3 linked regions of the Schizosaccharomyces pombe genome follow. The protein of the gene in region 3 interacts with the protein of the main gene of each other region in a biochemical or structural test. Each region holds a gene or a part of one and is shown on either strand. Other genes may lie near its edges.

Region 1 (5,933 bases), 2.6 Mb from region 3:
CTTTTGAATAATAAGTATCGATACTGATGGGTACTGTAATCCCTGAGCTTCGAAGTAAACTAATCATAGGTATTACTCTTCTGAGTTCTTCCTCAACAGACACGGGATCAGCTCCAGGTTTAGTAGACTGCCCACCTATATCTAGGATAGAAGCACCATCTCCAACCATACTTTTTGCTTTTTCAAGGATATTATTCTGCGAGACTTTACCACCATCAGAAAACGAGTCGGGGGTCACGTTCAAAATTCCCATTGTTAAGGCGCCATTAATGATTTTTTTGTTGTCAAAAGATGAGTACAATCTTATTCCTTGTGAAGGCAATTTATCAAGAGCTTCTTGTAAGGGCTGATGGGTATAAGGGTGTACTAAGTCTGGGCTCAAGGCCAGCAATGGACGTAAAACAAACTCACGTTCTTGCAGCCCTAAATGGGGAATAGTCAAAACTTCTGATTCATAAACACAATCTTCGTACAAGACAATATCGAGATCTATACACCTTGGTCCTTTTAAAATTGTTTTGATTCGACCCATTTCTTGTTCAATGGATTGACAAGCTCTTAAAAGATTGATAGGCGACATTCTGGTTTCAATTTTGCAAACACCGTTCAAAAAAGAAGGTTGGTCTTTATAATACATCGGCTCTGTTTCGTACAAAGGGGAAACATCCAACACACGAATACCCTCTATTTTATGCAACATAGATAATGCTGTTTGGATTTGCTCAAATTTGTCACCAATATTTGAACCAAAAGACAAATAAGCAATTTTGTTCTTAGTGGATTCGTATTTATGCAGAGACTCTTGTAAAAAGTACGACCGTGTTCGATAAATTTGCACCGCAGAAGCATTGGCGAATGTGATAGCACTAGGTTTCTCAGCTTTAATGCTTATATCGTCTAGATTCTTTGTAAAACAAAGATACTTTGAAAGATTGACAACCAAAGCTTCTATAGTCAGGAAAGCAGATTGTTCGACATATTCGGCGATTGCGCGCGCGATCTCTAAAGCTTCGACCTCCGTATTTGCAAATGATATATTTAAGCAAACTCTTTGCTTCTCTTGTCGTTCAAATGCGTGAATTCCTAATATCGTAGCTAACTCCAAATCCGAGAATTCAATACGATCTACAAAGTTACTGGTAGAATTGCGTTCGCGCTCAGCATAATAGTGCAATCCATTTTTAGACCTTAAAACACATTTGGGTAAAGTAAGCTTAATAGAAACATGCGAGGTATCAATAACGTCTTCAAAACATAAACTTGCAATTTTATTGACCAAATCTTTAGGGGTTGTAAAAAAAGACCCTTCAATTTCTTTTCGTAATAGCTTAGAAGCTATACCGTAATGAATCGTTGATTTTAACTCGTCTTTTTCTCCAGCTAACTGAACATTGTTTCTCATATATACATCAATTTGCACTGGCTGAGGTTCCTTTCTTTTCCATTGGTCTTGACCCACTACAGCAAATGTGTTAAGATTTTCAACTACGACAGTGTCATGTATCAAGTCCATTTGTCTAGTAGGATGTCGTAGAGATGAGAAGCGGAGTTGTCTGGGGATAGTGCTGACTATTCTAGGTATTTTGGCAAAACCATGGAGAGAATTATTTCTAATGAATGGATAGATTCCCCAAAGGTTTACTAAACTTTTCATGAGAGTTTAAAGAATTGATTATCTATATTGGAAGTATTTGCTGAAGCGACCAACACCATGATAAGTAAGAATAAGCAATACCTACGGTATCCTGATGTCAATTATCTAAAATGAAGGCATATGGGATAAAGAATTGTAGCATTATTTGACTGTTATTAAATTTAATTCATTATTGAATACAGCTGGGAATATGTATATACTCTGATCATTTCTATGGAGCATAGAGCGATACTGAGAAATAATATTATAAGAGATTTGTCAGATGACTACATTAATGTGCTACAAATCATTATACCCGAAAATAGAAATAAGGGAGAATCAAGTTTGATTAAATATAAAACATTCCAACAACTTTGTGAAACTCAACCTTACGCTATCAGCTTAAAAGCAGAAGGAAATTAGTAGAGAAAAAAAATCAAATTGCCATGTTCAAAATTAATAAAATTTGAAAAACATTCTACTAAAAAATGCCGTAAATTACTAAATCAATTTCTGTCAGCGTTGATGAAGTAACTTCCCATTCAATTTTAAATCTTTCATTAGCATACTTCTATGAACTGGATAGCAGCAGTAATTGAACATGCGATGTCAATATTTAGATTTTAAATATTTTACATATTGTAAATGTAGTTAAGCATGTATACTCCATTAATGAAAATGTAATCTTTCATACATATTTCGTCTGCGCTGGCTTCAGTACTTAGCCTACCTTAGGATTGTTCCCACTAATTTTCAATTTCGTTGATTTTACACACTGCTTCTTATTCTCGTAAATACCACTTTCCTAAGGAATACTTAGCGGAAAAAGAAATTTCTAAAAAAATGGAGGAATGGAGAAACTTCTTAGATATTAAAGTTATCAATGAATCTTCACTTGTAAGATATGAAATTTCAACAAGAATTTGAATGTCTAACTGTATAAAAGGTAACTGTAGATAATTTAAGTCTGCAATTGGATATATCCAGTGAAAAAGCACAAGAGTAAGGAACAATACGCATTATTTTTTATTTTTATTATTAATAATTCATACTTTCAGATATCTTAATATGTTTTATCAAGGCAACGATTTTTTGTATCCTATATACCTTATTCATGGACAACCTATAGATGATGAAATTAATTTGGAAATTGACGAGGAATCTCAACCTATATCTAATTTTCCTGTTTTGCAATACATTTTGTGTGATAAGTCTTCTCTACAAGGTTTGTTATTGTCAATTCCGATCATTCGATAGCAGATTCGCTAACTATTTGTAGAGAAACAAAGTAGATTGAAAAGTGGGTATAAAACTGTTATATTTGCTCTTTCATCTGCTCCATTAAGTGTAAGTATTCGATAAGCTGTATTTTATATTGTTACAAACTAATTGATTTAATTAAGGATTTTGACGAATTATTACCTGCAGTATATGAAATAAGAGAGAAAGATGTTTTATACAAAAAAGAAGATGCTGATAAGTATGGATTTATTTTCAATGAAAATTCCGTGGTAAGTAATTTATATCACAACAATCGTTGTTTGACATTCGATCCTTCCGTCTTCGGAAGACTAACTTATTGTAGCCTCGTGTTTTGAAAAAGGCACCTTCAACTCATTCCCCCCAATTATCTGTTCCCTCAAAGACATCGACAATCGATAAGACTGACACACGTAGTACAGAAAAGACTAAAGGGAAAGATATTTTCAGTAATGCAAGGAACCAAAAGGGAAACTCATCTCGTAAAAATAAAAAAGCTCCTCTTGAAAATCATAAAGAAAAGGAGCCTCTCTTGCCAAAGGAGGAGAAGTTGTCTGAGCAAGCAAAGAGAGAGCGCGATGATCTGAAAAATATTATGCAGCTAGAAGATGAATCAGTATCTACCACTAGCGTTCACGATTCTGAAGATGATAATTTAGATTCTAATAATTTCCAATTGGAAATTGGTACCGAAGCAAAATCTGCTGCACCTGACGAACCTCAGGAAATTATCAAATCCGTATCCGGTGGAAAGAGACGTGGGAAAAGAAAAGTTAAAAAGTACGCGACAACGAAAGATGAAGAAGGATTCTTGGTTACTAAGGAAGAAGAAGTCTGGGAATCATTTTCTGAAGATGAAAACATCTCAACTGGTACTTCAAATGTTGTTAGAAACAAACCGACTACTGTAAACATTGCAACTAAGAAGAAGAATACTGCACAAAGTAAACCACAACAAAAGTCTATTATGTCCTTTTTTGGAAAGAAATAAGTTACTATTCATTTTCGATAGTATTAAAACATGTGTTCACGAAGTCCCTTCAATTCTCATGCAAGCTATTATCAGGAGTTTTATTCATATAGAAAAACTGTTAATGTTAGTACAACCTTTAATCCTAATCTACTGTTTTTAGTTTTGTTTACACTATTCACAACCAACTATGTAAGTCTAAGAGAAGTCGAAATCAATTATCAATACATCTTTTAATTTTAAATATCATAAATAAATATGTTTCCTCAAAGCATAGAAGAATCGATTCTTTTTTTTATTAGAAGTATTAAATACTCCATACATTAATGAACCACAATGCGTTAATGTGCGTTAACTACAACACATAATTTGAAAGTTGAACTTCATATTTAGTCAAAGCCTTGTATATTGGAAGTAGTCATGGGCAAAAAGCAGACGAAGCCTATTAATGCTAAATCAAGGAGTGAAAGCAACGTAGTTGCGGATCCTAGATTTCAATCAGTTCACTCTGATCCTAGATTTTCTAGACTTAAACGTGGCAATTTTAAAGTAAAAGTTGATGAGCGGTTTAAATCTCTCAAGGAGGATAAGGACTTTAAAACTACTGCCAGTGTTGATCGATATGGCCGTCCTCTCAACCAAGATAAGGCTACTAAAGAGATTGATAGACTGTATGAACTGGAAAATGAAGGGTCGTCCAGTTCGTCTGAATCATCGGAAATTACTGACAACGAAGAAGTCGCTTCAGCGTCTTCGAAATCCACAAAATCGGAAGAATTAACCGATGAGGAGTCCGAAGATGAGGAAGTATATGATCCAGCTCGTGGTGAGGGAATTATTAGTACTTCGGAAAGTAGCGATGAAAGCGACGCTGAAAGTGAAACTGAAGCTCAACCGGAGATATCCGAATTAGCTGGAATCGAGCCAGAAGAGAATATTCCTCGTGGTTCAGAAACTAACCGTCTTGCTGTAGTAAACATGGATTGGGATAATCTTCAAGCAGTTGATCTTTTTGTTGCTCTTTCTTCTTTTTGTCCTCCTGGTGGGAAGTTACTGAAAGTGTCGATTTATCCCAGTGAATTTGGAAAATCCAGAATGGCTGCGGAACATGTTCAGGGTCCTCCACGTGATATATTTACTCCAGCTGACAATCAACCTTCTAGCGCCGAATTGCATGAGGCTCAAAAATTTGGTTTTGATAACAATGAGTCTGATCAAGATGAGGAAGATGCTTTAATAGAGGAGGATTTAGGCAACGAGTTTGATATGGTAAAATTACGCCAGTATCAATTAGAAAGGCTTCGTTACTATTACGCAGTAGTGGAATGTGATAGTGTAAGAACGGCAAAGGTTATATACGAAACTTGTGATGGCGCTGAGTATGAAACTAGCGCTAATATTTACGATTTAAGATTCATTCCAGATGATGTTACATTTGACGACGATGAATCTCGCGAAGTATGTACTAAAGCGCCCGAAAAATATGAGCCGAGAGATTTTGTCACCGATGCATTGCAACATTCAAAAGTTAAACTTTCGTGGGATGCTGAGGATCCACACAGAAAGGATTTAATTAAAAAGGCTTTTACTTCTCAGGATATTGAAGATTTAGACTTTAGCGCTTACATTGCCTCAAGTGAATCTGAAGATGAGGATGTAGATGTTATTCGTTCTCGTTACCAAAAGTTATTAAGTGGTGATGCTGATGACTTCCAAGCGAATAGTAACCCTTTTGAGGATGATGACAAACTTGAAGGCGCCAATGGTGAGATGGAGGTTACTTTTACTTCAGGTTTTGATGTTGATAACAATGCGAACTCTTCGGAAAAAGATGAAACCACTATTGAAAAATACAAGCGTAAGGCCGCTGAAAGAAAACAAAGACGGAAAGAATTGAGACAGCTTAAGAAAACAAAAGACGATGAAGGTGAAGGATCCGACGTTGATCTTGGTTTTGATGATCCATTCTTTAAGGACAAGGATGCTAGTCGTAACAATAAGAAAAACAAAAAGGGCAAGCATACTCAAATTGAAGATCCTACGGCCGCGTCTAAAGAAGAACTGGAAAAC
Region 2 (5,697 bases), on a different chromosome or scaffold from region 3:
GAGCTTGTTACCTTAATACTTGCTAGTACCTAAAAGTGCTCTGGTTCAGCTCTCTAGTCGAATTTACCATCAACACTATTTTTGGTGTTACTAATTATAGGGTTTTTGCCCATGAACTATAGGCAATTGTTTCTTCTTCAAAATGTTAATTTAGAGTCTAATTATTTATTAAAACGTGTATGCCTGTCTTTAAAATTGTCTCCTTGTAAACTTACAAGGAAATTTCATCATGCTTGCCCTTCCAGTTCAAAAGTTTTGAAATATTTCCGCATAACTGGATGCCTAATAAATTTCGGGAAACAACCAGCAAACGATCATCATCTTTGGGGACATTGTGGTGCGCGTTTGAAGCATACTCAATCAGATCTTATTGATCGATTTAAAAATGCTAATTTGAAATCCGTGAATGAGGAAAACCTTAAAAAATTTTTCTCTGAATTAGAAAATCATGGAAACATTAGACAGTGGTTGAAAGACAAGTTCGAGAAGGACAAACGCGCTGCTGTTTGTCCTACTACTACAAAATCTGAGGAAGAGAAGTTGGAAAATGATTTTGAGTATTCTTTTGATTTAGAAGATTTCAGCAGTGAGAATTTTAGACAGTACGATCGTGGAGATTTGCTAGTGTTTTATAGGGGCTCCGAAGGCATTGAACTTGCTGCATGCACTGGTACTAATGTTTGGAACTATAGTAATGTATTGACCAGCATTAACGAAAACGGTACTATTAAGGAATTTCGTACATCTAGAGTTTTACTGAGATGTCCTAATGTCTTTAAAAAGCTGAAAGAGGTGCAGCAACCTCTTTCTGATGTTTCTGTTCCTTCTGATGTCCTACCTTTCACTATAAAGTTATTAAAAAAAATCTCTCAAAGAGCACAAGATTTAAGTCGAAGTCACCGAAATGAATTTTTGCGAATATTGACAGAATTCAATATTCCAAATAAACTTGACAATTCAGCTTCTTTTTCAGACCTTTTGAAATTTGTGTACAAAACTTCGAAGCCTAGCCCATATGCTAAAATCTCATTGTTACACTTTTTGCTTACAGAAAGCAAACATTTTTTAATAAGCGATCACATATTTTCCGAAATTCAAAAAGTCTATTTCCTTCCCTCTTCACAAAATGATTCTTTTGACGACGTTGTTGCATGCCTGCGTCAGAAATCAACACCATATCTTTCGTTTATAAAGAAAGCTCGTCATTTAATTCAAGTTTCCCGAGATAAATATAAGTTACCTATAAGCACCGAAGAAATAAAACCCGTAGTTTATTCACAGGTCACTTGGACTGAATTTGAAAAAAAACTATTGCGGTATCTTGTTCAGGAAATGATTGCAAAAAGTATTCAAAGTTTACCAAATACACACTTGTGTCAGGTTTACAAAGAAGTTGGCCTTCAAACTCACGAGAGGGGATTAACTAGTGATCAGTTTGCTAAATTCTTAACGGATATTGGCGTGTGGGCTTCATGGCAGCCCCCGAGGTTGTTTCAACAGGAATACAGCATTGCTGGCCTTGGTACTAATCCTCAGTTAGATGCTGTGTATGAACGTGAGTGTAATCACTTTAAAAAGTTTGTAAAAAATGAATTAAAAGATTCACTTGAATCGCAACGCGTCGATTTAAGGCATCTTAAAGCGTTCGCCTTTGATAGTTCTTCTACGAAAGAGATAGATGATGCGATTTCGGTTGAAGAATTAGGGATGTCTAATTCCTGGCTTCATATCCATGTTGCTAATCCTACGAGTACAGTTGACATTCGCAGTCCTTTAGGCACGTTTGCTGAAAGGAACTTTCAAACTATTTATCATCCCAACAAAATTGTGTATATGCTACCTCTCAATATCACTCAGAAATATTGGAGTTTAGATTCATCTTCTACAGCTCAAAGAGCATTAACTTTTAGTGCTAAAATTTCAAAAAATGGCGATATACTTGATTACAAGGTTCGGCCTAGCTTCATTTCCTCAGTTATCAAATACACACCCCAACAACTGGATAAAGCTTTGCATAGTAATCGATCAATTGCGAAAGACATCGTTTCTGGACCAGTGGATGAGGAAACAAAAGGAGTATCAAATGATCACATGAAAGATATATTAAGAATATATGAACTTTCGAAACAAGCCTGTTTTTCTAGGTTACAAAAGTTTGCGTTTGTTATTGCACAACCCACTCCGACAGTTGAATTGCTGCCTAATAATGTCCCTTATAATCTTGGTGATCTGAATCATCCAGTATACTGGTCTTCCTTCCCTACAATTAGTTTGAACGTTAGTGAAGGGTATAGCTTGGCAGAATCAGTAATATCAGAGTGCATGATATTGGCTGGCCGGGTTTCATCATTATTTTTTCAAGAACATAAATTACCTGGGATTTTTAGGGGCCAGCCTTATCCAATTATGGATGGTGTACGAAGAAAAGCGTTTGAAACTTTGTTAAGTAACAGGTCATCTTGGGGACTCGTTGAAACTAAGTATTCACTTTCTGTAATGCCTTTATTTGAAAGTTCACATTTAGCCTCCACACCTGTTTCCCACTTTTCTTTGGGGCTAAAGGATGGCTATATTCAGTCTACCTCTCCTTTACGCCGGTTTACCGACTTCTTCACTCATCATCAGATTCAGTCGGTATTATTAAAGACTCCAAAAAATACTATACCTGATGGTATTCTTCGTGGAAAACTAAATTTGTACAACCAAAAAGAAAAATCAATTAAAACTATAGGAAGATACATTAATCGTTTCTGGGCCTTAAAATATATAGAGAGACTTCCAAAGGTACAAAAAAATATTTATCATGGATATTTAATGGTTTCAGAACTTTCAACACCTCAGGTCATGTTGGAAGAATTGGGTGTTAAAGCGCATATTGATATTCTCCCGGACGAAGCATTCCGGTTAGCAAATACTCGCCAGGCATTTACAATTAAGGATGTCTTTCCGGAGTCTAATATCCTATTAGTTGCTTTAGCGACCTAACAAACTTATTAAAACTATTTTTATGGATATAATTTTACTTAATTAAATACTCAATCCTGCATTTTATCAATTTACCGAGACTTAACGATATAAATAAATTATGTTTTGGGATTTGATAGTAACCTGTTTCGCCAAAACTCATCTCAAAAACCAACAGGTAGTTTTACTATGAAGTCTCTTTGTTAACCTTGACTCTTGTGATTAAAATATATTTTCTTTTTCTATTTTTTGTAAGACAAGAAGCAAATGTCTTTGGATGCTTATAAATCCATCGACGAAGTGTGCTGCGTTGTTTAAAATCTAAGTTAAGAAAAATGATTGAATCTAAAGGTGAAACAGCACCCTCTTTAAATTTAAACGACGTTAATGTTGAAGAAAATGATGCTGCGCAAAGTTTTGCAGAGAAGGTTCAGCGGTTTCGATACCAGATGAAAGTCCATGCAGCACCGCGACAGAAAACGCTGCATTCTTTCCTGAAAAAGGATAATGCTAATATTCATGACTTTACTAAAGTTGAGAAACCACACATTCGTTCTTCTAAATCGAAGGTTTCTTATAACAGTATTACATCAAGAGTTACCAAATATTTTGAAGAAAAAAATAATTCCGTTGATCAATTGCATTCAGAAAGCTTGACCCCATTAAGCTTTGGCCATACCATTCCCAAGAAAAAGCCGTTACTTATGACGGCTTCTGTTTCAGAAGATTCTAGAGTTCGTGTTAGTAAGAGACAATTTAAGTCCAAAGTTGTTCATCCAGAAATTGCTATTTCTATTGCTAAAAGGCATAAGCCAAAGTTTCCTCTGTCTGATGAACTCATGAATGTCGAACCTGGGTTCCACCACAGCAATATCGGTTGTCAAATTACGCCTTACTTATGGATATCATCATTTAGAACTAATGTCTATTACCTAATTGGAAATGAGGGTGACTTATTGTCCCAACAAGTACCTTCGATAAGTGGGGAGTTAAACATGTTGAGAGGAGTATGCACCCGTATCGATGATGATAATCGCTATGATATTGAACAAGCTGGTTCTTGTTTTGGTATGTCGGTATTTCCAACCTCTGATTCTGGAGAAGAGTCTTTTACCACCCTTGAGTCCGATCCGATAGTTAATTGCGAACACGATGAAAAGAAAGTTGCTGATAATCTCCTGGTTCCTCAAGTAATGTGTTCTTCTAATATTTCAACGTTCTTTCGAAGCCCTGGTGGAAAAAAGTTGTATCATTATTTATGGAAAAATTCAAATGCCCTACGTATTTCCTCAAACGACCTTCTCGAAATACTTTTAAAGCACGGTGTTTATGTATCTTTGGACACTCTGCACTCGTGGCTTCAGGAAAGAAACGTAAATTTTGAAAAGTGAAATATTTATGTTAGACTAAGTATAGCAAACTTTTGGCGAGCTGGTCCCGTAATGATGATTTAATGTACGTTATATATCTAACAAGTCAAGAATATTATTTCAATAATTTTAAATGTATATATTTATGTGATAAGTTAGAACTAAAAATAACGAGTAGATAGCTTGTCTTAATTTTGAAGGACCAAAGCAGAAGGGACTTTATGACTCGAGTTTTAAACGTCTTTGAGAACGTTACTGAGTTCTTCTTGTCTTATTTGTTTTTTTTTATATCTCAATAGCGCTGTATGGTTTATAATATATGCATATAAAGCGCTAATGTTAGGACCTTTTCTTGAGCAGATTTGTCTTTGGAAAATAACGAAATAGTATATTATTATGTTATTTATTTAACGAGCCGGAAATTTTTCATAAAATTTCACTAACGTGCTGCGTAGTTAATCTTTATTATCTAATACTAGGACAAGGAACGCGAGAGCATGTGTTTGTCATTAACTACACACACGAGAAATAGCAATTTATGTGTTTCGCGTCTCTGGCCTACTTATATCTTACAAAGCATTCATTTTTTGAAACCTTCTTTTCTTTCTAAATAACTGCATTTGTAATTGCTCAAATTACCAACCCTGAGCAGTTAAAGTCTTTTTCAAATTTCGTTTCATAGAGAATCAAAAGAATTCAAGGTTGGATCTATTTATATTAAAATTTATTAGAATGTTTGTGTTTGGATAATAATGAAGCCTCGCCCGTACTCTGTTTTCCTCTTTCTTCATATCGTTTTTTACAGCCTTCTTTCAGCAGTGAATGGATCCCCAAGTTTGGATTATTTTGAGACTTGTTCAAACTTTGTACCGAGAGCAGGTATTCCTACCTTTAGCCCATATGCAGTTATCAAGAATTTTGATGAAGTGAATCGGATGTACTACATTCAAGTAGTGGGGAATTTATCCGGAGTTATAACGATTGTGGGTGGAAATGGCTCACATATTCACGCTGCTTCAGTTTATTCGGAAACTTATGCGTTAGGAAAACTGGTCACATCCAATACCACAAAGCTTTGTGATGTTGTTATGGATCCTCATTCTTTTGAAGTCCCCATAAAATGTCCTTGGGCAGCTGGAAGTGCCGCTTTCATGGTTAAAGTTCCCTTTAAATCCACCTTGTCCGATTACTCAAAATACGAATTGACTACATTAACAACGCGAGTAATCGTTGTTGACGGTACTCCCGAGAAAAATGTAATAACTTGTATGAAGTTTGGTTTGTCCACAACTTTGTATTATTTTTATCCAGTTATTTCATATTTGGTTGTTGTGTCGCTCGCATATGTCTCGTTTTCCATTAT
Region 3 (5,252 bases):
CGTCAATTATACGACGAGCAAGTCCTTCAGCAATGGAGGTCTTACCTACACCAGGCTCACCAATAAGAACTGGATTATTTTTCGTTCTTCTAGAAAGTACGCGAATTGTACGACGAATTTCATCTTCACGTCCGATAACTGGATCCAGTTGACCATTTCTAGCGAGCTCTGTAAGATCAACAGTAAATTTATTTAGTGCATCAAATCCTTCCTCGGCATTCTTTGAATCGATTCTTTTATTACCACGGACGTTATTTACAGCAAATTCAAACGCTTTCGGGGTGACACCGGCTTCTGCCAATAAACTCTTTAGCGTGTCGTCTTTAGTGAACACAGCGATAAAATGATCTTGAGCAATGTAAGAATCTTTTTGTGTTTTTTGAAGTTCATGAGCATTTCGCAGCAGTTTCGCACTTTCAGGTGACAGAGTCACTTGTTCTGGAGGTGGATCCTGAGCAGGCAAGCGAACTAACCGACTAGTAACACTTCGCTCAAACTTTTGACCATCACCACCAGCTTTGTCGACGATGGTGCGCAGTAAGGTAGTACCGTTACTGTCACTGTCGGACAAAAGAGCAGCAGCAATGTGAATAGGGGTTAATTGTGAATGACCATAAGATTGTGCAATTGAGTACGCATCAGACAATGTCTTTGCGGCTTTGTCAGTAAAAGGATAATCAGCCATATCGAGTTATATTATTATAGGAATTTTTATAATTTATAGATAAATCCAAAAAAAAGGAATTGTATATTTGTCGCTCGTTATAAAACAAAAAAGAGAGAGTCGTTGAACGGTAAATATATACGGTTTTCAGTTCGATTTAATAAGAACTTAATATCGTTATTATAATAAATTCTTCGGTTATAGATTGATGGTTGAGGATGCCGCAGGTAGAGAAGCTGTGCATATATATACACGATGATGTTACTATGGGAAGGAAAGGAACATACCAGAAGATGCCAGTTACATTGTTACTCGAACCTACTCCTACACTCTAGAAAAAGAAAGGGATAAAGTAGGGTAAATCCCAAAGACATGACTAGAAGATTTAAAAAAATAAGAGAAAAATAGCTTAAAAAAAAACCGGTGTAAATTAAAAATGCAGTTACCTTAAAAGTCTTTGAATTGTCTTTAAACATGGAATACTCGAAACCCGGAAATGATCTGCGTATTACGTAGTGTATGGAACAACGTAAAGACGGATACTAACCTCAACTTATTCTCAATTGCATCTTGCTAAATACCGTTAGAATTCATCAATGACTGAATAAATAATTTTTTGATACATAGTTCTTCTATTACAGAGATTCTAGTCATATTTCCAAGCTATTTCTAAGATAGAGCTCTTACATTACTTATTCTATACGGTAGCGATTATTCGTCGTAATGACATTTAACGAACTTTAGTTACTTGACCATAGTGGTTTATAAACTAAACAAACCAACAGTGAATTCTTGTTAACGTAACTGTAATCTACGAATATTGAGAAGAAAAAAAAACGAATGAATTTGTTGTGAATACATATTTTTTCCTTAGCGAACAAGTATACTTCATTCTTATTTTCATACCTCTTTAGTCTTATTTAAACCAGCAATAAAATTCGTTTTAAGTTTTCCGTGTTAATACCAATTAAAATAACGTTTTTTTCAATCATTTTATATGTCATTGCAACGTGAAAATAAGTTAATAAATTTCGGTAGCAGCTAATATGGAAAATGTACAATTTACTTGATACATTAGTGTAGCCTAAATTTTATTTGATCCTGGAAAGTATATTAAGGTAGAACGCGAAAGCTCTCCTAGTTTACGCCGTAAATTGTAATGACTCGCTGATTACATTTGGCTTATTATAATCCGTATAGCTAGAAAATTTCGATAACTGAATATTGCTTCTTTAAAAAGACATAAATAGAACCGTGAATTAGTACAGCAAACGAAAGATAAAAATTTCATAGTAACATGCAAATACTATTTTTTCAGTTAGTTTTCCATAATTTTGTATAATATTTCATATCAAACGCATCTAAAAAGTACGGACGAAATTACTTGCTATTGTAAAAATAAAAAAAATAACAAAACAAATTATAATAACGTGAACTGCTATTTTGGTCTCATATATGAAAGGTTCTTGAGATTTTTTACGTTGTCAGCTAGCAATTTTACGCACACTATTCTGTGCTACGCGCTCTTTGACTACTTCCCAAAAGCCAACTACAAAAGGTTTTTGCAGTAACCTTTGTTAGCTATTCTTTATATCTCTTATCTAGCTTGTATAAAATATAATTACGACTATGCTTGAAGCTAGATTTCAGCAGGCTGCTTTGTTGAAAAAGCTTCTCGATGCCATCAAGGAGTTAGTTACAGATGCTAATGTATGTAAGGGGCAGCATATAAATAAAGATGCTCAACGACAAAGCCTTTCTTTTTTTTAAAAAAAATATATTTATTAACTTCTTTTGAATGATTCTCTAACCTCATAACAGTTTGATTGCAATGACAACGGTATCTCTCTGCAGGCTATGGATAGTTCTCATGTAGCCCTTGTTTCTATGCTTATTAAATCAGATGGATTTGAACCATATCGGTGTGATAGAAATATTGCTTTAGGTATAAATCTGAACGCCTTATCAAAGGTCTTACGGTGTGCCCAAAACGAGGATTTGGTTACTTTAAAGGCTGAAGATACACCTGAGGTATTGAATTTGGTTTTCGAGAGCGAGAAAAATGACAGGATCTCTGATTATGATGTTAAATTAATGGACATTGATCAAGAACACTTGGGTATACCAGATATCGAATACGATGCTACTATTACTATGCCTGCTGCCGAATTTCAACGCATTACTCGAGATTTATTAACTTTGAGTGATTCAGTAACAATCAATGCTAGTAAAGAGGGTGTTCGTTTTAGCTGCAAGGGAGATATTGGTAATGGTAGTACCACGCTGAAACAACATACCGATCTTTCTGACCAAGATCAAAGTATCGAAATTTCTCTTACCCAAGCTGTAACACTTACGTTTTCTTTGAAATATTTAGCCCAGTTCACTAAGGCTACTCCTTTAGCTACCCGAGTCACACTTTCAATGAGCAATGATGTTCCACTTCTTGTGGAGTATAAAATGGAATCCGGATTTTTACGATTTTATCTTGCCCCAAAAATTGGTGAGGAGGATGAGGAGTAGATTACGGAATCAATATCTTTTAGTAATCTCTTTGCAATTGACGAGCTAGCATCATTATAAACATACTTTTGTTTACTTTTTAATTCAACCTTTTTTGTACTGCTCCTTCCCTAACATTCATATCCAAACAGGCAAAATACCAGCTTTTACTTAAAAAAAATCAAATTCTTTAGAACCAACAAACTGAAGGGTAGAAAAACTTGTGTTCTTAGTGATGATTTTTCACAGATAACTTCGTAATCATCTGCTGTAGCTTGTTGATTTAAGTCTAGTACATGATATAATACATTGATATGTAAATTAGCTTAATTCTGAGAATTTATTCTAACTGATAATTGTATACTTATATGGCTAACCGCGTAAGAGCCTCGGAGGGACAGTTCGCCCAAATACTACCAACGCTACCACCAGTAGCAGCAAGGCGTAAAAGTTACTTAAAGAAGATAGAATTCCTTACTCTCTATACTGCCAACTTTTCGTAATAATTTATATATTTTACTATTTGGCTATATTTGAAATTTTTAGCGTTGAATATACTATGGCAGGAGATAGTGTGAAAAGTGCAATCATTGGGATTGCTGGGGGTCCTTTTTCTGGAAAGGTATTTTATTAAAATATTTTTTTCTTAATTCTAATACTTTAATACTAGACACAACTCTGTGAGCAATTACTTGAACGTTTAAAGTCATCAGCACCTTCAACTTTTTCTAAATTGATCCATCTTACTTCATTTCTTTATCCCAATTCTGTCGACAGGTATGCACTTTCCTCTTACGATATTGAAGCGTTTAAAAAAGTTCTTTCTTTGATTTCTCAAGGAGCCGAGAAAATATGTTTGCCAGATGGTTCTTGTATAAAGCTACCTGTAGACCAGAATAGAATTATTCTAATCGAAGGTTACTATCTTCTTCTTCCCGAATTGCTGCCCTACTATACGTCTAAAATTTTTGTATATGAAGATGCAGATACTCGTTTGGAACGCTGCGTTTTACAGAGGGTCAAAGCAGAAAAAGGAGACTTAACCAAAGTTTTGAACGATGTAAGGGTTTTTCTTCTAGGTTTATTCTAATTTCTTTTAGTTTGTAACTTTGTCTAAACCTGCATACGACTCTTCGATTCATCCAGTATGTTAAACTCTTATTTGCTGTTGTATACTAATTATTGGAAGACTCGAGAGAACGCTGATATTATACTCCCTCAAAAAGAAAACATTGACACAGCCCTACTTTTTGTAAGCCAACATCTTCAAGATATCCTCGCGGAAATGAACAAAACAAGTTCATCAAATACGGTGAAATATGATACTCAGCATGAAACATATATGAAGTTGGCGCATGAAATGGTAAGCTCAATTTCCTACATATTAACAACTAAAAGTCCTAAATTTAGGCCCGTACTTCGTTATCCAACCGAGAAGTCCCGGTAGTTGCGTCTTTGTATATAAAGGAGAAGTAATAGGCCGTGGTTTTAATGAAACTAACTGCAGCCTCTCGGTAAGCCTTATTTTAATATGCCTTTGCTGACGATGATAAAGGGGATTCGACATGCTGAACTTATCGCTATAGAAAAAATTTTAGAACACTACCCAGCATCTGTTTTCAAAGAAACCACTTTATACGTGACTGTTGAACCGTGTCTAATGTGTGCTGCTGCATTAAAACAGCTTCACATAAAAGCCGTGTATTTTGGATGCGGCAACGATAGGTTTGGCGGATGTGGAAGCGTATTTTCCATTAACAAGGAGTATGTGAATTTATCAGTTCGTTTTTGCTTACGATTTATGACAGCCAATCTATTGATCCGAGCTATCCAGTTTATCCAGGGTTATTTTACTCTGAAGCTGTGATGTTAATGCGCGAATTTTACGTTCAAGAAAATGTAAAAGCACCAGTGCCACAAAGTAAAAAACAACGAGTATTGAAGCGCGAAGTTAAAAGTTTGGATTTATCTCGTTTCAAATAATTATATTAGAAGTCTAATTTTCTGTGGTTTCAGGTAGGGTTATAATAAAGGTTCTTAGGTCGATGCGTCAGTATCAATCATGTTGGTTGAATATGTTGAATAA

What was found.
Region 1: the proteins of pcn1 (region 3) and cdc27 form a complex in vitro, tested with the Schizosaccharomyces pombe proteins (2 studies listed by BioGRID, with this or other methods).
Region 2: the proteins of pcn1 (region 3) and pxd1 interact in a test that uses a peptide from one of them, tested with the Schizosaccharomyces pombe proteins (one study listed by BioGRID).

What each region holds. Positions count from the first base shown.
Region 1 is NC_003423.3:1,059,921-1,065,853, reverse strand, and holds cdc27 (DNA polymerase delta subunit Cdc27), read left to right. Parts: upstream 1-2,429; 5' UTR 2,430-2,476; coding exon 2,477-2,530; intron 2,531-2,579; coding exon 2,580-2,635; intron 2,636-2,691; coding exon 2,692-2,858; exon of another isoform or gene 2,859-2,912; coding exon 2,913-2,980; exon of another isoform or gene 2,981-3,036; coding exon 3,037-3,144; exon of another isoform or gene 3,145-3,218; coding exon 3,219-3,884; 3' UTR 3,885-4,136; downstream 4,137-5,933. Other genes in the region: fol1 (dihydropteroate synthase), read right to left, coding at 1-1,654; pre-rRNA processing protein Esf1, read left to right, coding at 4,284-5,933.
Region 2 is NC_003421.2:1,283,051-1,288,747, forward strand, and holds pxd1 (protein Pdx1), read left to right. Parts: upstream 1-3,115; 5' UTR 3,116-3,299; coding exon 3,300-4,355; 3' UTR 4,356-4,481; downstream 4,482-5,697. Other genes in the region: rpm1 (3' ssRNA-specific 3'-to-5' exonuclease), read left to right, coding at 112-2,985; trp1322 (TRP-like ion channel protein), read left to right, coding at 5,087-5,697.
Region 3 is NC_003423.3:3,614,392-3,619,643, forward strand, and holds pcn1 (DNA polymerase delta processivity factor), read left to right. Parts: upstream 1-2,203; 5' UTR 2,204-2,293; coding exon 2,294-2,374; intron 2,375-2,483; exon of another isoform or gene 2,484-2,485; coding exon 2,486-3,187; 3' UTR 3,188-3,454; downstream 3,455-5,252. Other genes in the region: heat shock protein Hsp104, read right to left, coding at 1-685.